Bombyx mori: one gene and its partners. The protein of the gene in region 1 purifies or fractionates together with the protein of each later gene. This does not show direct contact. Links are inferred from orthologs where the notes say so. Each region holds a gene or a part of one and is shown on either strand. Other genes may lie near its edges.

Region 1 (5,075 bases):
TGTTTAATTGACTCTGAAGTAGTTTTTGTCCTGATTGCTGTACTGAGGGTTGTGGGTTCCATTGCCACATTGTGCAAAAACAATGTGACAAACAAGTTTGTTTGCTCTTCATCAGGGTTCCAAATATATCAGTCTCATAGTACAGGTAATCCTAATTCTTAAAATATACATTAAGGCTGATTACATACAGCAACTACAGGGTAGTTTAACATTCAGTATACAACAGTAGAAAATGCATTGGTCTTTGGGAAGAGACAGTAGGATAACTTTGGCTTCACAGAGCATTACATCTGTTGCATACTATGGATTTTACGTTTGTCACTCATTATTCAAATGCGGTAATAAGCAGTTCCAATACTGGACTGTTAGTATTTGGTGAGACTGGGATAGCTCTGTATGCTAAGCTGAAATTAATCTATTGCCTCATTCCAAACTGCCTCATGCCATTAATCTATTGTAAAATTCTTAAATCTGTGTCAACCATAAAAACGGTATAATAATATAAAAAATTGAGGAAGAAGTAACAGTCACTTTTGCAGATGAATGAATTTATATTTGATAGTTATTAACATATCGTAAATGGGTTAAATGCCCATTTTGAACTTTTGCATTGAAAATGCACGTATCATCTTATTGCTTTTGCATATTTGACTTCATGACTTTTTCTTCCCAATTAATCTACTGTTATTATACTTTTTCTGTCTGTTTTGTTTCGTTTATTTTGAGTAATACTTGTCGTATACCGTTATCCACCAGCTATGATATAAATAGTTACCAGTAAATCAGGGGTGGGCAAATACTTTAAAGCGCGGGCCAAAATGAAATTTTCAAAATGTCTCCCGGGCCGGAGGACTATACCGCATATGCTTTTTTACCGCATATGCTTTTTTAATGCTGATGTCAACAAAATCTCATAAAAGAGTTTAAAAAAATTTATGTGCGGAATTTTTCAACGGGCCGGATAAAATTAGCAAAAGGGCCGGATCCGGCCCGCGGGCCGGCTTTTGCCCACCCCTGCAGTAAATGTTGGTATGATTAGTGTTAATTTTCTTCAGGTATTTACTACAAATTAAAACGAAGTACGGTAGTGAAGCAGAAATATTGATTGAAGAGTTGTTACAAAAGGCATGTTCCACTGCTACCGTGCTATTAGTCTCCATTGCTGTTAAATATAAAGATGACAAGGTACTTAGTTCATAGTCATTTTATAAGCACCACCACTAAAGTGGCATATTTAGATCTGGCATTCTCAGTTTATTTGCAGGAACAATTTACATTTAATATGATAAATAAGATAGTAGAAGGAAAAACTTATAGAAAGCCTAATTTAAGTTGTGGCCAGTGCACATGATAACTCTAACAATATAAATAATAAATCCTTGTTATTACATTGCTTTAAATTTGAGTTTCAGGAATATGCAAAAAAAATTCGGATATCCATTGTCAGATAGACAGACAGAAAAAAACAACAAAATGATTCTATAACGGTTTCTTTTTATCCTTTTAAGATCTGGAATTCCAAAAAGAACCCATTTTACTCAAAATGTTTATTACTTTACATTACAATATAATATATATTATATCACATACTATAATTACTATGGTTATCTAATAATGCGTAAATTTATGGTAGTAGTTGTCTGACGTCCATAACCATACTCACCATACTCACCATCAGGTGGGCCGTATGCTCGTCTGCCTACAAGGGCAATAATAAAAAACCATAAGCACAAAATATTTTGATTTATACAATGTTCCTTATTACTAGGCAAATTATTTGTATTCATTTCTTTTAGCTATTCTGATAAATATTGCTTTCTTCACCAGGAAAAGAACATGACTATAGTGAAACTAAAAGATATCTTTATAAGTCTGATAACCGCTGGTTACATACAGCAGGCATCTGTAGCTGAGTTGAAGGAAGGCAGCGAGATACCGACACTGGTGCCCGTCGCAACTATAACACCAGAGATTGATGTACGAGCTGTCATTAAAATTATGAATTCTGGAAATCTAGCTGAAAGTAGTGATAGTGAGTAATTTCAATATCATCTTGCTTGTCGAACAACAGAGTATGAACTGGAGTTGCCATTGCGAAACCCAGTAATAGTGTTGTCAAAGACAGCCCGGCATTCCCTCTAATAATAAGTCCGAGCATCACCTATGTATGTCACTGTTAAACATGATACTCAATGAGTAATTTTAACACGATCCAAATTATATTTTCCATTGAATACTGCTCGTAGAACAACAGAATATGAACTGGAGATACCGTTGCGAAAGTTAGTGATATTGTTGTCAAAGAAAGCCTGGCATTCCACCTAATAATAAGTCCGAGCATCACCTATGGATGTCTCTGTTGAAAATGATATTCAAATTCCAAATCAAATGAAGAAGAATATTATAATGTGTAGATGATGTGAGAGGCTGCATTGTTGAGCTTTGATGGGTCATGCTGGGCAGACTGGTTAATGGTCTACCTGATTTTAAATGATCATAGATACCCCAATATAAAAACCACAACATGAGTCATGAATGAATGTTTGAATATAAGATATTTGACAGATTGGTAGGCCATTGGTCAATATTGATTTATTAAATAAGAATTTGAGATATTTATGTTATTGTTTCAGATGTGTACTGGAAAGTTAATTACGACAGGTTCCATCAGGATATCCGCGACGAAATTATGATCAAAGCAATCACAAGACGAATAGATGAAAACGGTGAATGTTGTTTTCTTTTTTAAACGTCTTTCGAGGCAGACACAGGGATACGTTAGCAATGCTAGAGGTCATCGAAATTTTTTTTTGTTCTACCCAAGATTGGTTTTTGCATATGTGGATGAAGAAGATTAAGACTCAATTGCTTTCTCTGCTTTGCGGCAGAATGGTACCTACCTGTGCGGGCTCACAAGACGCTCTACTGTAATTAAGAAGTTTATGACTTTTACAGGTTTGATATTTGCCTTCAGTGTCCTAGGAATTGAGAATACTGGCTATCTCTGGCTGGGAGTGCTCTGTGGAATTGTTTGAGATGATACCATCATCTCGTTTTTACCACCGCACCGCCCGCCACCGGAGTAGAGTTCATCCATATTACCTGGACCCACTGCGTTTCCAGAGATCTTTTTTGCCACGTACCATCCGGCTTTGGAATAAGCTCCCCTCCACGGTGTTTCCTGAGCACTATGTCACTGTCATGTCACTCTTCAAAGGAGGCTTGTGGAGAGTATTTAACGGTAGGCAGCGGCTTGGCTCTGCCCATGGCATTGCTGAAGTCCATGGGCGACGGTAACCACTTACCATCAGGTGGGCCGTATGCTTGTCTGCCTACAAGGGCAATAAAAAAATATATCAACATCAACCAAACATTTATGTCATTGTTCAAACGAGGTTTGCGGCGAGCATTGCTGTCATATGAATAGCCGGACAGACTGATATCTTTGGAGTTCCTCTGATGAGTTGTGAATTTTGTATTCTTCTCCAGCCGGTGAGCTTCTTCGTCATATGCTGCAACACATGTACCTGACGTCTCCGGCGTGGGCTGCAGAGTCTACACTAGTGCCGGCCGTGGAATTGAGGGAGGCTTGTCTCCGGGCCGCTGCTGACAAGCCCCTCTTGAATCAGTATTTCGATCAATATCTGAAGGTCTTAGGTGAGGTTTTTTTATGAGTAAGTGAGTATTCTTTAGTGTGCACCCAAAAAAAAAACAATGCGATACGTTAAATAAAAAAGTACAATTGGAGGTGTTATCGCTAAGAGCGATCTCTTCCAGACAAACATCAGGTAGACAAGATTCATTTGGAAACGAATATTTTTTTTTTATGATTGAAGATTTACTGGTGGCCTGGAGGCCTTGCCAGTTTCACCAGGACGGGTGGGCGAGCAAAGGCTCAGCCAGAAGGGGTAGGATTTGCTAACAGCTGCCCGAGCACCTCCAAAGGAGACCTAACAACTCAAGAGCAGCTGCTTCACGGATGAATCTACTACCAGATCGGAATCGCGATCCGCTGAGAAGATCCTTACGTGCGGTGTACTAATCCAGTGAAATATATATTTATACACATACATATGCACAATTGAAAATTCATAAATTATGAGTTGAAGTAATATTGAATTATGGTGAATCTGACGCGTCATTTCGGATCCTCCCGATCCATTATCGGTGCTTTTAGGCACCACAAGCACCTGTCATCGTTTTCGTCGAAACCGTCGCTTGTGACGTAGGTCCCGGCGAGTAAATTGACCCATAGACATAGCCCACTGAGTTTCTCGCTGGATCTTCTCAGTGGGTCGCGTTTACCATCTGGTCGTGGATTCTGCGAAGCACTGCTCTTGCTAGGGTTAATGTTAGCAACACGCTTACGTTACGCTGACATAGCCTCTCAAACTTATTAGCTTAGGCAGGAAAAAAAAGAGTGCGTTGCGTGTGACAGAGGAGAGCGGGTGCGGCACGGTGCGGGCGGACGCGGGGGGGCGGGGGTACAGCGTGCGGGGGGCGGGCGCGGCGCGGGGGTGCCTGCTGGCGCTGCTGGAGGGGCTGGTCACGGAGAGACTGGGCTACAAGGCCGCCAGGATATTCAGGTTAAACTTTGCTTTTTTTTTACTGGTGGTAGGACCTCTTGTGGGTCCGCGCGGGTAGGTACCACCGCCCCGCCTATTTCTGCCGTGAAGCAGTAATGCGTTTCGGTTTGAAGGGTGGGGCAGTCGTTGTAACTATACTGAGACCTTAGAACTTATATCTCAAGGTGGGTGGTGCGTTTACGTTGTAGATGTCTATGGGCTCCGGTAACCCCTTACACCAGCTGGGCTATGAGCTTGTCCACCCATCTAAGCAATAAAAAAAAAATCACACGTCATTTCTCTCGGCACATTTCCACGAAAAGTCACACACCGATTAATCGATCGACGATTTAAGGTCTGTAATTATTATTAAAATACTTTGATTTGTGCCAAAGATATCACGAAATAGTAGTATCGGTAGGCGAGTAGCAGTTTCAGTAACAGATTTTCATTGTCTCATCGATTGATTAGTTAATGAGGCGATATTATTGATTGTAGGGTATAATCAAA
Region 2 (5,518 bases), on another chromosome or scaffold:
AATCCAATTTACAATGCTAATTATTATTATCCTTTCGTAGAAAGACTTTTACCAACTGTCCGTCAAAGTTCTCAGCTAAATAATGCCACCGTAGCAGTATTGGATGCGCTCAATAATGACTTATATAGTACTATTATTATTTATTACTAATCACTAGAAACTTAAGACCAGTGCTGGTGACAAACACTTAGTTTTACCAGTACATTTTATCTACACAAGCATATTCTGACAAATATAGCAAATTTTCATACAATTCCACTAATATTCAAAAAAATCCCATGTACAGGCAAAACTGCACAAGCTTAACTTACATAATGCTTAAGTGTATACAGTACCTATACCCTGTATAGCTAGCAGAAAAGGATCAAACCGGTTTTTTTTGTAACACATTGTTATTTATTTTGCAAGGTGATTTTAATATTGTAGAAAGTGATAGTGTAAAAGTAATTTTAACTATTCTAGATTTTATTTTATTCCTTTTTGAACTGAGTGATCTCATCAAAAAGTATCATTAGTTGGTTACATATGCCTGACCCATAACTTTTTGTAATTTGGTGCATTAAAGGATTTAGACCCAGGTCAAAACACTGTGATTTTAGGTTTTTTTTCGACAAGGTTACTATGGCATAGTATCTACTTATAACGCCGAATTCTTAAGTTAAGATTGGCATTTACTTATTATTTTAAAATTATAATAAAATAATGGAATATAATCACTATGTATTATTATATAATCATGTTAAATAAATATTGTTGCAAATTATATTTTACTTTTTAATTTACTTTAACGTTTTAATGAGGTTATAATTCTTGAATTAATAGCGAATCTTAAGCAGACAATAATCAACGTCCTCCTTGAATAAAGTGGAAGTCTACATACAGTTATTATCAACTGACTCTTATGATTAGTTCCAGATGGCTCATTCCAATCTTTAGGGGTTACCAGAACCTATAGACGTCACTTGAATTTGAACCCATCTTTAGTATATTACACGCAAAATTATAATTTGCGTAATTACTGGTGGCAGGGCCTTTGTGAGTCCGCACGTGTAGGTACCACCACCCAGCCTATTTCTTCCGTAAAGCAGTAATGTATTTCGGTTTGAAGGGAGGGGCAGCTGTTGTAACTATACTGGGGACTTAGAACTTATATTTCAAGGTGGGTGGCACATTTACGTTGTAGATGTCTATGGGCTCCAGTAACCACTTAATACTAGGGCTATGAGTGTGTCCACCCATCGAAACTAAAAAAATAATTTAATCAGCAACTAAACCCTCTTAGTTTCCCTGTATATTCTCAGTAGCTCACAATTTCAATCTCCTGATAGATGGACTTGCCATGTGCCTTTTATGATTAGCTTCCTTTGGAGACATTCAGAGAAGTTTAACAAACCGTTTCCCCAAACATAGTACAAATAAAAAAATAACAATAGAAGCTGAATATTTTATTCATCATCTATTTCATCCTCTTCACCCTCTTGATCTGGTGTCTCCCACCAGGTTAAAAGTCCAAGTCCTGGTTCATTTATTCCTCCAATCAGTCTATAAGGTGCTACCGTTTGTACTGTACAATCTGTTCCTGGAGGACCTGTTGGTAAGCTCTCTTCAAAAAACTCACTTGTCACTCGAAATCTTATTGATTCACCTGTAATTTGTTTTATTATTAAAAGTACAGATTTTCAATGTTAACAGTAAAAAGAATCTTTGTAGTGATGATAAGGCATAATATTTGTGTAGTTATTATAATTTACATCTAGATTGTGTCAATCCACCAATGTAGTTTTTTAGGTGCTTTTATTATTGGCATTGTCTTCTAAACAAATACCCATTTTATTAAGTTTTGTTAGTCAACAGTGCTAACCTGTGTTTTGGCATATTTTATTTTGCTTAAATGAGTGGACAATCACATGGCCCACCTGGCATTAAGTAGTTACTGAAGCACATAGACATCTAAAATTTAAATGCAGCCACCCACCCTGGGACATAAGTTCTATGGTCTCCGTTTTTACAGTGCAACACATGCTCCATCCTTAAAACCAAACACTACTGGTTGACACAGAAATAGGCAGCTGGTGGTGGAGTCCACCCATGTGGACTCATAAGATGTCCTACTACCTAATTATACAAATTATAATTTTGCAAGTTTGGTTTTTATCACCCAATATTATTCCATCATTGTGGACGTCATTCGTGAACATTTGTTAAGTACGTATTTCATTAGAAGCATTGGCACCTGCCTGCGGGAATCTTTATTATAGAAAACCCATCTGTGGCATTTCTAAACAATACAAAGGTAGCAATGCTAATGCTGGGACCAGACTACGACACCAACACATTGTGTTTCACTCAGCAAGTGTACTTTAATAGATATTAACATATATTTAAAATTTTAACTTATTTATTAAAAATTATTAAATGTATATTAATTAATTGGAGTTTGATAATACACACCCGAGTCCATGAACAAATCATGTTTTTCTCCATCTTCCTTAGGATATTCCCATACCCATGCTTGATCGGTTTCGTCAAATCTAGACGGATGCTGAAGAGCATTTACTGGTATTAATATATCATCGAAAAAGCCTAATGTCACTGAAAATTTTAAATAGTAATTATAATCATGATTTATTTACATTTGGGTCTCATTATTGAGTATACATGTAATTTTATGACTGATAAATTACCGTGCACGCCTTCTCTACTGCAGCTCCTTATTTTTCCTATAAGTATCTCTTCAATAATAGGTCGAAACACGATATATCTAAATTTCACCTCTGTGTGAGATGAACCGTCTCCAGGGAATATGTACGAGTGTCCAACATTGGTTATGTCAAACAGTACAATACATAAACCTACTTCTAACACAACCTGAAAATACATATTTAATAACATATATATTATACAATATACAACTAATAATAAATACAATTAGATAAACTAATTCGGTTAAATTAATTTGGATAGTTATGATTTATGAACCTTATTAGCTAACTTTCTGTTGAGTAAAGTTGTTATAGAATCAGTTAGACTTTGACGAAAGTATTCTGGATTAACTCGAATAACATCTTTCATTTCAGCTAATACAAACATTGGTTTATTTGATAAATATGTTACTATTAAATTCTATTTAAAACTTCGGTTTTTGAAGATTTTATGGTCTGCTCTGTTTACTATTTTGCTTTTTTTTTTAAGAATTGAAGGCATGGGTACGAGTTTTTTAAGTCCACCTTCCAATGTTTCATTCCATATCGACGCTTGAAAGGCAAACGTGACTAAGCGACAATAACTGCTTTGTACATAAATGATAGGCAATAACCATATTCGAGGCGCAAAAACTATATATTTCTAGGTCTATTAAAATCATTTCAATCCTACAGCTACTAGCTAGATTCTACTACAGCTAGATTCGTTAAAATAGATTTTTTTCAGGTATTCCAACTTTAACTTTAGTCTACTGTAAAGTTCACGCATTGTCATTGCATTGTCACCTAGTCACGTTTGCCTTTCAAGCGTCGATACTAATCGGCTGTGAAATATCAAAACCCAGTATCTGCATAAAACTAAATTTTACAGGAGAGCCGAAAAACAATTTCATATCTTTGACAGCGTGCCGTTTCAATAATATTAGTCGTACCTTCTTGAGAGTGATTGCAAAATTTGAGGTGCATAACAGGCTTTATAAAAAAGTAGATTTCATGCGTCTATCACAAAAGATGTGCGTAGAGGAGCAGTTACTAATAAAAAGATTGTTTTCTTAGATCAAACTTTTTGAGTGTGACAATTTCAAAACCTAGTAAGATCACTTGCTTTGTTTTCATCTAATTCTAAAATATAATGAGTGGGGATAAACGCAAATTAATAGACTTAGTAAGATCACTTGCTTTGTTTTCATTTAGGTCTGAATTTACTGAGTAGGAACTAAATGCAATTTTTTAAACATAGTAAGAAAAAACAGAATAAAACAACATAAATATGGGCAGAAATAAGCAGTTTTAATGAAAAAGAAAAAAAAAACACATAATCGGAAACCAAACACTATTTGTTCACAGTAAAAAATCAAAAAATAATCACTCAAAATATTTGAAAACAGTCAAATAAAAATAAATTATTCGGTTATTAATATTTGTCCACTAGAAACTAAATTAACTGGATTATTATTAATCGGTACACTTTGCCAAGACTTCTTCTCCAAAACTTCTTTAAGCTAAATAAAGTTGTTACTATGCCTTCCTTATTACTTTCGTTAATGCCTCTTGGAATATTTTTTAAGGTTGGCATGATCAAGAGATTGTGTTTTTAATAAGAGAATTCAACTCGGAATACGGAGATTAAAAATCATTCAAAACATATTACGGCACCCATTTACAAATATTATTTCAACCAAAGAACTAAGCAAAAAATTATTAATGGGAACAAGGTCATCATTGCGTCGCGGTATGCGTTTCTTTTTTACCCACTCATACGATTTTTCGAATTCGATAACTTCAATATGCGATTTGCAACCCAAAATTACATTCTTATAGTCTTCAAAATCGTACACAGCATCTTTTGTTTTTAATCTGCCTCTCCATATTGCCATGAACTCCATCAGCGACATGCTTGTGTGATCTTTAGTTAGGTAGGTATTACAAAGTCCAACTTTTTAAATTGAAAAACCCAGAGATTATTATAGTAACAAGTGATGTAAAGAGGATCCAATTTTTATTTTGAGCTCTGCAATTATCACACCACAATATCAAATGATTAAAATCTCTTTCTTTTTCGATCATTGCTGCAATTGCATTAACAATGTCATGAGCATCTCGTCCAGAACAGGCTTCATGCCATAGAATACAAATATTATTAACATTCGTTTTCTTTCTGATTGGTGCAAATGTCAAGTTGAAAGTTATCATTCTACTCAAGAAAAACGATTCTTTGACTTTAGGCATGTCGGGTAACAACATAACTTTTTGTAAATCCATCGAATAGTATCTCACAGAGGAAGTATTTTCTAGGGAGGCATCTTCTTGATACTTTTGTATTGCTTTACTTGCTCTAGCTTTGTGATCCCCGTATGCAGTTTTAACATCCTCTGGAATATTTGCACCTTCATTTACTTTATGTGTCGTAGTAGGTTGCAATTTTGGAAAACAAAAAACCTTGACAATAATAAAACACACTGAAGCGTACTTACATTTCACCATGTTGTTCTTTTAAAGCATTCAAGATCAATTTCGACCTATAAAACTGATTTTTACTCATTTTATAGACAAAAACACGAACAACGTGCAACGATTTTCTCACTTACTAAAGTTTCGCGGGAGTTTTGACGTTTATTTCAACCATTTCATTGCCTTAGTATCTGCATGAACCATTTTAAATCCAAGTAACTACAAGCACTTATTAGGTTTTTAAAATGGTTGATGTTATATACTATGTTCTAATCTTGTAATTTTTGCATTTTGAAAACCTTTACTGTAGATACTAGGTTTCCGACTTTGTGTAACTTCGTTTTTTACAAATTTTTGGGGGTTTT
Region 3 (5,819 bases), on another chromosome or scaffold:
AAAAGCTTACAGAAACAGCGGGGTAGTAAAATATTTTTATTTATATATGCACTAAACAGTGATAAATTAGATGTAAAATGAAACCTTACCTTTTTACTTTTAGTTTACTTCCTATATAAGTCAGAGCTTGATTTTGAGTAAATATTTTCAAATTATGGCAATCTAGAATACAAGGTGCCATTTTTTTTATTGTATTATCGTCAGTACCTACAAGCTGCATTATTTCTTGATCACTACATATGCCCATGGCTTTAAAGGCGACAGCTATTGGAATATCCTGAATATAAAAAAATACAAATTAGTGGAAACTACATAATTGGAAATTATTTATTTTAGCTTTTGAAATAGCTTTTGTAATTTTGAAGGGAAGAAGTCCAATTCAAAACATATTATGGTTTTATTTTTATTTTTTATTGCTTAGATGTGTGGACGAGCTCACAGCCCACCTGGTGTTAAGTGGTTACTGGAGCCCATAGACATCTACAAGGTAAATGCTCCACACACCTTGAGATATAGTTCTAAGATCTCAGTATAGTCACAACGGCTGCCCAACCCTTCAAACCGAAACGCATTACTGCTTCACGGCAGAAATAGGCAGGGTGGTGGTACCTACCCGTGCGGACTCACAAGAGGTCCTACCACCAGTAAAAAATACATATATAGCTTTGATTATTGTTTGTTAAATGAAATTGATTTAAGTAGTAACATACATCAGACAATGCATTATGTCTGAGCACATATTTTCCATGTTTAAGAATCACATTCGTTCTAGTTTTCTTCTCATGTGTGGAACTTGTAACCTGACATTGTACTGCTCCTTTGAATTCATCAACAATCATTCGATTTCTAGAGAGTTGCTCTTGAATTAAAATCACCTTTTCTTGACCTACAGACAATAAAAATTGTTTTTCATTACTCAAGTAAACTACATATATATGTACTTATACAGGTGTCCTGAAACTCAAGGTCAAGCGGGTACGGGGCTAGGTACTACTCGTGCAGGGAAAAATAAAAACAAAAATACATTTCATTTTAAAAACCATACATCCATTGAACTTCTATTAAAGGGGCTGCATAAATGAAAAAGCGTACATGAAGCCAATATAAAACTAACTGAATTCACTCCATGTAACTGTATGCAATAGTGATCGAATAATAAAATATTGTCACTCTTGAAATCAAAACCAATAGTGTTCGGATCCCAAAACTGTTTTCTTTTTTTTTTAGAAATTTAGATAAATTTTAGCATATTTTTTGGCTATGCTACTCAATCAGATCATCTCTTTGAACGTTCAAACGCAGTTATTTTTACAGTATCGTTAAAATGATAATTTGAATTTGATTGTCTTTAACTTTGTTTTAGAGCACTGTTAATAAATGTGTTTCATTAAAACCATATTATTTTGTCTAGAAACCTAGCTCATAACTGTATATTCACAGAGAACTCAGTATTTCATTCATTTAGACCACAAAAAAAAACCCAAATGTAGTGTGAAATGCAACCTTAATGTGGTCAATGTTAGGTTATTATGCTTTAAGTCTTGCCAAATTTTTTATTCTATGTATTTTTAACTTAAAGTTTTTCTTTATATTTATTTATTATATTTCTTTATATTATATTTATTTAAATTTTCGTTTATTTTTATTCTGACTAAATATAAGGCTCCCAATGTACTTTACTCCAGATTAACAAATTAATAAAATTTAACTTTATGATTACAATTATTACACATTTAAATATTTTATGTACATTTTACATTTATATACATTGGAGTTTTTTTTTAATATTAGTTGTATAAAATTAAATTGGTTTCTTACCTCTTATAATAAAATAGCCTCCAGGATCATGGGGACACTCATTTAACTGTGCAAGCTCAAAATCCGATTTATTAGTAAGAACGCAGTTTGAAGACCTAAGCATGAGGGGCATTCTGTAAAGAATCAAAATACAGATTTCAAAATGATATATGAGAGTGATGTTAATAATAGGTATATAATTTAATTACATTTCAAATGGCCAGTATTGTTAAACTTCATAAGCAAAGACCTAATGTTAAAGTAATTAAAGGAATCATTAACATGTTAAAAATTTGTGATACTATTACTTTGATATTGACACAAAAACTGTTTTTACTTTGACTACTTTATTAATACTTTGACAGACATGTGTCGTGAAGATAGGTAAAAGGCAGATGATGAACTACTTAAATTCCTACATCATCAATAGTTGCAGCCCATAAGTCAATCAATTTTTAACTGAGTTACATTGGGTGGGGTGGACAAACAATAAAACATAATTTCTCTGTCGAGCTTTTCATTGAATTGTTTTTAAGATAGGATATTTTCAATTGGGAGTACAGAATGTTAAATTCATTTGATATGTATAATACAGAATTTTTTAAAGCCTGGAATGTTCTGCTTTTTAGTGAGTAAGATCAAGATATAGTAATAGATCAAGCAACATTACATCTGCTAGTATTAGAATATGCATTTCTTCATTTATTTAAGATGTTACCTTCCAATCAGTTGTTTATTTTTGATCACCCTCTGGTTTCCTCTAATATATTCTATATCAACAGTTATAGGAGCTGAGTATGTTATATCTCTAAGACGACATTCATGAGGTGTCGTTGGCTTAGTGATATTGAACCCTTCTTCCAAGTCAGGTGTACCAACATAGGCATTTAAATATTTAATATAGAACAGTGGATCAGATTCACAAAATACTTTTTCATTAGCCTGTACTATCTTCTTTATCTCCACATTTATGAAGTAATTAAATGAATCTATGTGCTGTTTCACCAAACCTTTAACTTGAAGAAATGAAGGCACTAATTTCCATTTATCCTGAAAGAAAACATTCATATGAACAGTGTTAAGCTGAAATATTAGAAATTTAAGATAAAATCAGGACGTCAGTAAATTGTACTATTTTTTTCTAAGATTTTTATGATGTTATTCTATAAAATTCATACATTTTATTATTCAAATAATTATGATCATACTTTGGTAGGGTTTTGAACTCAACTGTATATTGTCACTTACAACTTTTGTTACTATACAATTGAACTTTGGAGTGATTAAATATCAATGAATGAACAAAATCTTAAAGACAGTTATATGATTTTGTTGTTTGGTTAGTAGTAATATTATAGTTCGTGTATTTTTTTTTCAATTGTGTATCAAAACAATAGTAGTAATTCAGAAAAGTAATAAAGCTAGTACCTCAAGGGTTTTGACAGGGTCCCGTAATCCTTTGGTATCCCACTCATTTTGTTTTTTATTAAGTTCGCCCATCATGTAAATTAAATAAGCTATTGTAATATTGAACTATCTTCGGCAGTAAATCATATTGTCCGTATTTACCAAGCGATGGAATCTTGGAATTGTTTTATAGAATGGAACAAATCAGATGAGTACATATGTAAACAATAAGTGCAATTTTTAACAACGAACAAACACGAGCACAATTCTGCACATTTAATTACAAACTTTAAACTCATAGATATTTTTTTGGTACAATTTTTCCTTTAAGAAAGGCAAGGGGATCTAAGCCCATACAGCGTGCCCATAAATAATTTTTAAATCCATCTATACTTTTTTTAAGGGATTTTATGACCTGGTAACTAAAACCAAGTCAAGGTCAAGTCTTATTTTAATTTTAATGAAAAGTTTTTTTAGGTAAATGAAAAATAATATTATGAAATGAAATAAAGTCGATTAATATAAAACATGGCATGAAATGAAATGAAATTAAAACGAAATAAAATGAGATGAGGTGATATGGGATGAAATATAATCTCAGTAAAACGGTGGTCATTTACTGAGACTTTTTCAGTGGATTTTCGAGGATCCCGAGAAGTTACGTTCAGCAGCTTTGTTTCATTTTCCCACATTTATGCACTTTCACAGATAATAGACAGTTAATAAACCACCGATTACCTATTTAAAGCGCCTTATTCACGATCCATCTTGCTGTACGTCCCGCCAAGGCCATGCACGATGCACGATGCAAAAGGATCATGAATAGGCTTGACGTACGTCGATAATTATTATTAATTGCGGCCTTGAGCTGACGTACAGTCGTGATGGATCGTGAATAAGGCGCTTAAACCTGAAGAAACTCTAAATAAACAAAAAAAAAAGGGTGCGTGTACTTATGTACGCGCGTAAGAAGTTAAACTTTATTTTTATTAAAGAACATCCTCAAACACGCATATTGGACATCCCTTTTCTTGACATCGTATAAATTCGGTAATTCTCGGTACGGTTCGGACAATACACGACGACCTGGGCCTTGAATCAATCCAGAAATACATGAAGTCAGCGTCGGAACGGTACTTCGATAAGGATATGCGTCATGATAATCGCCTTATCGTTGCCGCCGCTGACTACTCACCGAATCCTGATCATGCAGGAGCCAGTCACCGTCGACGCCCTAGACACGTCCTTACGGATCCATCAGATCCAATAACCTTTGCATTAGATGCCTTCAGCTCTAATACTAGGAGCAGGCTTAGGGACCCCAGTAACCGTACTCGTCGAACTCGACAAAGAGGTCGACGTGCAACCTAGCCCATGCATCAGCCCGCTGAGCTTCTCACCGGATCTTCTCAGCGGGTCGCGATTCCGATCCGGTAGTAGATTCATTCGCGAAGCAATTGCTCTTGAGTTGTTAGGTCTCCTTCGGAGGCGCTCGGGCAGCTGTTAGCAAATCCCACCCCTCCTGGCTGAGCCTTTGCTCGCCCACCTGTCCTGGTGAAACTGGAAAGGCCTTCGGGCCACCAGTAATCTCTCAATCATAAAAAAAAAAAAAAAAACGGTTCGGACATAACTCTCAAACACAGCCCACTCTCGCCGGATCTTCTCAGTGGGTCGCGTTTCCGATCCGGTGGTAGATTCCGCGAAGCACGGCTCTTGCTAGGGTTCGTGTTATCATCGTTGTCAGGTTTGAGCCCCGTGAGCTCACCTACTAGCCACGGTTACGCTGGAATAGCCGCTCCAGGCTACCAGATTAGGCAGGAAAAAAAAAAACGGTTCGGATCACTTCGACAAAGCGGCACGACACGAGAACCCTCTCATCGTGGCCGCCGGTAACTACATTCCCGATCCTGCGGAAAGAATGGAAAGCAGTCGACGTCGCCCAAAACACGTCATTTTGGATCCTTCCGATCCACTAACGGTGCTTTTAGGTACTTCAAGCACCGGTCACCGTTCTCGTCGAACCCGTCGCTTGCGACGAAGGGCTCGACGAGCAAATTAACCCTCAGACACAGCCCACTGAGTTTCTCGCCGGATCTTCTCAGTGGGTCGCGTTTCCGATCCGGTGGTAGATTCCGCGAAGCACGGCTCTTGCTAGGGTTCGTGTTATCATCGTTGTCAGGTTTGAGCCCCGTGAGCTCACCTACTAGCCACGGTTACGCTGGAATAGCCGCTCCAGGCTACCAGATTAGGCAGGAAAAAAAAAAAACGGTTCGGATCACTTCGACAAAGCGGCACGACACGAGAACCCTCTCATCGTGGCCGCCGGTAACTACATTCCCGATCCTGCGGAAAGAATGGAAAGCAGTCGACGTCGCCCAAAACACGTAATTTGGATCCTTCCGATCCACTAACGGTGCTTTTAGGTACTTCAAGCACCGGTCACCGTTCTCGTCGAACCCGTCGCTTGCGACGAAGGGCTCGACGAGCAAATTAACCCTCAGACACAGCCCACTGAGTTTCTCGCCGGATCTTCTCAGTGGATCGCGTTTCCGATCCGGTGGTAGATTCTGCGAAGCACGGCTCTTGCAAGGGTTCGTGTTAGCAACGTCGTCAGG
Region 4 (4,964 bases), on another chromosome or scaffold:
TTCATCCTGGAAGTCAGAACTGTTTTTACATGACTCACTAAGCAAAACCACCCACCACACGAACCTTTTCAAATAGAACAGCAGATTTTTTGTATGTATATATGAATTAATTTGATTAAAAATCATCAGTAATTCAGTGTTTTTGATCTATTAAGGATAAAACTAGTCCTTACCTGTTCAAAATCAGGGTCAATGTTGATTAACTGTGTTGTAAGTTCTAAATACAGTGGTTCTCGAGAGCTATTTCCCTTATAATGTATCAAAGGTTGAATATCATCATCTGAATCCATTTTTTTTATTTCAATAATCGCACTACTTTGTAATATATTGTTTGTTTTTTTAATTTATCTAGTAGACTAATAAATTTAAATTTCATTACAGAAATGAAATCATATTAAGACATTTTTTTTTATACTTATTAAAATAATCTTAATGAATTCTTGTATTTCAATTGAGAACAAGGCTTTTGTTCATGAAATTAAAAATAAATTTAAAATTTCATACTGCAAAATTGCCTGATAACTGCACTGTCAGATATTTTTCACTATTATATCCGAATTAACGCTAAGGCCAGACCTTTGAAATTGTAAATAATTCAAAATACAACAGAAAAGTAAGAAAAATTATCACCAAAAAATTACAAAACCCCCTTGTTTGTTGTATTTCTTTTAATAATCTAATGTCAATTGTCAAAATATCATTTTTATTGATTCGTTCATATAGTACAGGCAAAGGAAATGGGACGCATACAGTAAAATGTTTTGTAATTTAAGCTGAAGCCAATCATCAGTCAAAGGTGAACTGGAACGAATAAACTGAATAATTGTATGAGACCGAATGGAAATTGTACGTTGTAGTTAATTTAGGGTTTCTTCAGACTTTAAAGCTTAAAATAATGGTTTATTAACCGTAAAACATTTGTTATAGTACACAAGTATGAGAAAATGGAGTAAAGCAGCTGGAAATGTATTTAGAACATATTTTTATGCAGCGCAGCATTGCAATGAGTCGATTCCTATATTGAGACGAAGCAGATAACACTGAAGGAGAAAATGAAATATACTTAACAACAACAACATCATAGGACTTGAATTACATGAAATTAAATAAATATCGCAGTAACTTATTATTAAGCAACTGACAGCCTAATGCATATTTTGGAAGAATACGAGAAGCTATGACTGACGTTCGTCTTTCATTTTCCCAAACTTTTGCATTTTCACATATTCCAAACGGTTCACAATTCACTCTCATTACACATGTAGATCTGATGAAATATTAAATTTACAAAATAAAATAATTAACTTTGGACTTTTGAGATTTCACAAATTCGATATGCTCTCCCATGCCTTAATGTACGGAATGAATGGTTGTTTTAACTTGATTTATTTACATTGAAAATTTGCCGATGATCACAAATGAAATGCTACGTACCATTTGACTGTCATCAATACTGATATGTTGCTGCAGGGATAAAGTCATTTTAACCTGAAATAATAGAGAAAACCATACATTTCACATTTTTTAAGAGACTGGCTTAGAAAATTTCTTGATTACTTATTAAAATATTCTAATAATAAGTAGACTGCTCCAAATATGCGTCAATCAATTTCACTCAAACGTTAAAAAGGAGCATATCTTACTCTCTAAAATCCAACCACTAAAAGTCAGTTTGGAAATTTAAAAAATAATTATGTACCATTCAAATGAAATGAACATTCATTCAATGTTTTAAAATGTTTTAAAAATAAAACATTAAAATTTGGTTCTATAGACTACATTCCTTTTGCCGATTGAAATCGACAAACAAAAATATCATATTTTCTTGTGACACTGTCATCTTTAATCATAAGTCATAGACAATACAATATGTAATCTATGACTGTCGTTGCGAGTCTAAAAAGTTTTTATCTCGAAGTAAAATAATATTATTGTGAATTGTAAAGAATAGAATTACAGTGTTTTCTCATTAAATTTAATGATACTTTGTAACTAAAATATCTTCTATTATTATTAAAAGTAAATACGTTTTATAAACCAAATAAATAGTTAAAGCATTGATACTTTATAACCCCAGTGCCTCACCACAACTTTAGGTTGTAGGAAATAAACAAAATGATTATTCCAGTACGATGTTTCACATGCGGGAAGGTTATAGGAAACAAATGGGAAGCTTACTTAGGCCTGCTACAGGCGGATTACACAGAAGGGTACTGTACAATTTAAGTTTTGCAACTGGTTTTTATACTTACCAATATTCTAGAACTTTAAAATGGAAATAACTGACATACATAATATAATGTAGTTATTTGATAAAAATTCAGCAAGAAAGATAAAACAGCTCCTCCCAGAAACAATATTAATGTTCTTATGAATTCAAATGACGGAATATGTAGGTGATTCCTGTTAACTTGGGTTTTTCTTATTTGCCAACTCATACTTACAGCCCACCTATCTTAAAGTGGTTATCATAATCCATAGGTCACAAGGTGGTAATTTTTTTTTTTTTTTTTTTTTTTTTTTTTTCCTACCTAAGCTGATAGCCCTAGCGGCTATTTCAGCGTAGCCTTAACTTTAGTAGGTGAGCTCACGGGGCTCAAACCTGACGATGTTGCTAACACGAACCCTAGCAAGAGTCGTGCTTCGCAGAATCTACCACCGGATCGGAAACGCGACCCACTGAGAAGATCCGGCGAGAAACTCAGTGGGCTGTGTCTGAGAATTAATTTACTCGTCGAGCCCTTCGTCGCAAGCGACGGGTTCGACGAGAACGGTGACCGGTGCTTGAAGTACCTAAAAGCACCGTTAGTGGATCAGGAGGATCCGAGATGACGTGTTTAGGGCGACGTCGACTGCTTTCCATTCTGTCCGCAGGATCGGGAATGAGGTGGTAATGATGGTAGATCTTGACACCAGATTAATCTCTGGACTGTTTTGCAATATCCAGTTTGAGTGTGAGGAAACGGAAGCATATAAGTGATAAATGTAAGATGATATCCTACTAGACAAGTAAGCTATGTAAAAAGTGGCCCGAGTTGATATAATCATTACTACCAACTGCAGCAATGAAATAAGATTGTTAATGCTTGTTAGCTTTGAGTATTCTTATACCTTTTTTAATGTGTTTATAGGCATAAGATTCTCTTGATAGTGATAGATTACTGGTAATCATCGAAGTCAGTTAAGCGTACTGTATACAGTAGATTTACTATGTGAATGTTAATATTTAATTGTATTTTTTTACTTTCAGTGATGCTTTGGATGTCCTTGGATTGAAAAGATACTGCTGCAGAAGAATGTTGCTCGGACACGTGGATCTCATTGAAAAACTCTTGAATTATTCCCCATTAGAAAAATAATGAAATATTTTTTAAAAAACACAATTAAAAATAAAAATCTATAATTGACATAAATTTTTTAAGATATTAGAGTTTTTCTTTCATACCTATATTAATCACCGCACAAAGGCTCTTGATTTACATGCCTCCCATTGTCAATGGAAAGTTTAACACAGTATTTATTTTAACTGGTCAAAGTCTCAAAGCCTAGGACATTGGTTCCTTCTGTCTATTTGTGAAGAAATTCTATCTCTACTGTATATTTAATAGCCAAAATTATTGTAAGCTCTAACATTTGAAAAATGACCTGCTGTTTGCTTCTTTTATAATCTGCATCAATTGAGGTTTGTATACGAGTGCGTGGGTGCAGGTTTTTGTCAGCTTATTAATATTCTGAATCGTTAAAGCCTTGAAACTATATAAACTAAATAAGAGTGATTTTTTCATGTACCAAAAAAAACTAGAGTAGGTTAAGACTAGTTACAAAAATTTTATTGTTATGAGACTTGTTTTAATTGCTTTTTACTTGTTACGGCCAATCCACATTTCATTATTGCTCATTATCAGCTCGTCACACACTTCAATTATCAATTTCTTTTATAATTGAAATTCAATCCTTTTTGACTTTGCCAAAATCCAGTTTTATAGTCTGTGGTTTTGGTTGTGCCCAGATGTCTTTTGGTGTGGTTTGTACTCTTGTTTGTTCTTTTATAGGCTTCGTGATTGCACAAGGTCACATAAATTTTAATTATTATTATTTTACAAAGTAATCAACTGTTGAATTACTTACCTAAAACAGGACAAACAATATATGAGGCCTATCAAATCAAAGGCAGCTAAATGCCTTAATGTCGTAAAATGGATTTACAATGGCGTTATCTTGTTTAGTTAGTTGGACACGCCTTAGTGTTTTCATGTTATAACAAATGCAGCTAAATCTCTAACAAATTCAGTTCCAAAATTTTATTATTACTCTGTACTAAGTAATAATAAACGAAGTTTTATCATTTAAAATTCAGATTATTAGTAATATTCTCATTCTTTATAAATGTGCTGTAAAATAAAGAATATCGTAGCTATCCGAACAAAGTTATTTCAGCTTCTCAAACCGGGAGTGTTGCTAACACTGGCCCTAGCAAGAGCAGTACTTCGATGGATCGGGAGGATCCGTAATGACGTGTTTAGGGCCCATTTTTGTAGTTTACCTGAATATTTGACAGACTTGGATTTAGCTGCCTTTGATTTTATAGGCATCATACATATATAACAAAAATGATTGTTAGAAGGTTAGTAAGGACAAACAACTTATAGTCTAATGTTATTCTGGTGAACATATTCGCATAAAATATTTAGATAAGGTGTATGTACAAGGCTCAACAAAGATTTGAAATTTGTCGGTCTGGGGATAGTGTCCGGTAGCACTTCGTAAAGGGAAGGTCTTCTAGGGCAGTTAAAGAAAATGTGTTCTGCTGATCCCTCGTCGAGCCCACATTCACAGAGGGAACTATCCTTGACCCTTATTTTAGCTAGGTGAACCGGGGCACAAGCATGACCTAGTCTTAACCTACATATTGTGGACGTGACTCTCTTGTTGGCTTTCCTATATTTAAAAAACCAAGGCCGAAC

Evidence for each region.
Region 2: the proteins of DNA-directed RNA polymerase III subunit RPC3 (region 1) and DNA-directed RNA polymerase III subunit RPC8 purify together in Homo sapiens (affinity purification with mass spectrometry; 5 studies listed by BioGRID and IntAct, with this or other methods). This does not show direct contact. The link is inferred for Bombyx mori from reciprocal best matches to the Homo sapiens genes POLR3C and POLR3H.
Region 3: the proteins of DNA-directed RNA polymerase III subunit RPC3 (region 1) and DNA-directed RNA polymerase III subunit RPC2 fractionate together in Homo sapiens (co-fractionation; 4 studies listed by BioGRID and IntAct, with this or other methods). This does not show direct contact. The link is inferred for Bombyx mori from reciprocal best matches to the Homo sapiens genes POLR3C and POLR3B.
Region 4: the proteins of DNA-directed RNA polymerase III subunit RPC3 (region 1) and DNA-directed RNA polymerases I, II, and III subunit RPABC5 purify together in Homo sapiens (co-immunoprecipitation; 3 studies listed by BioGRID and IntAct, with this or other methods). This does not show direct contact. The link is inferred for Bombyx mori from reciprocal best matches to the Homo sapiens genes POLR3C and POLR2L.

What each region holds. Positions count from the first base shown.
Region 1 is NC_085120.1:9,121,277-9,126,351, reverse strand, and holds part of DNA-directed RNA polymerase III subunit RPC3, read left to right. Parts: intron 1-1,055; coding exon 1,056-1,185; intron 1,186-1,827; coding exon 1,828-2,032; intron 2,033-2,633; coding exon 2,634-2,726; intron 2,727-3,489; coding exon 3,490-3,657; intron 3,658-4,405; coding exon 4,406-4,586; intron 4,587-5,075. UniProt on the Homo sapiens protein: DNA-dependent RNA polymerase catalyzes the transcription of DNA into RNA using the four ribonucleoside triphosphates as substrates.
Region 2 is NC_085117.1:13,231,357-13,236,874, forward strand, and holds DNA-directed RNA polymerase III subunit RPC8, read right to left. Parts: upstream 3,515-5,518; 5' UTR 3,091-3,514; coding exon 2,980-3,090; intron 2,869-2,979; coding exon 2,685-2,868; intron 2,593-2,684; coding exon 2,452-2,592; intron 1,646-2,451; coding exon 1,446-1,645; 3' UTR 1,431-1,445; downstream 1-1,430.
Region 3 is NC_085116.1:7,719,251-7,725,069, reverse strand, and holds the start of DNA-directed RNA polymerase III subunit RPC2, read right to left. Parts: upstream 3,528-5,819; 5' UTR 3,301-3,527; coding exon 3,226-3,300; intron 2,848-3,225; coding exon 2,516-2,847; intron 1,932-2,515; coding exon 1,819-1,931; intron 887-1,818; coding exon 711-886; intron 278-710; coding exon 90-277; intron 1-89. UniProt on the Homo sapiens protein: Catalytic core component of RNA polymerase III (Pol III), a DNA-dependent RNA polymerase which synthesizes small non-coding RNAs using the four ribonucleoside triphosphates as substrates.
Region 4 is NC_085133.1:5,484,398-5,489,361, forward strand, and holds DNA-directed RNA polymerases I, II, and III subunit RPABC5, read left to right. Parts: upstream 1-1,838; 5' UTR 1,839-2,115; coding exon 2,116-2,210; intron 2,211-3,250; coding exon 3,251-3,359; 3' UTR 3,360-3,425; downstream 3,426-4,964. Other genes in the region: polyamine-transporting ATPase 13A3, read right to left, coding at 174-290. UniProt on the Homo sapiens protein: DNA-dependent RNA polymerase catalyzes the transcription of DNA into RNA using the four ribonucleoside triphosphates as substrates.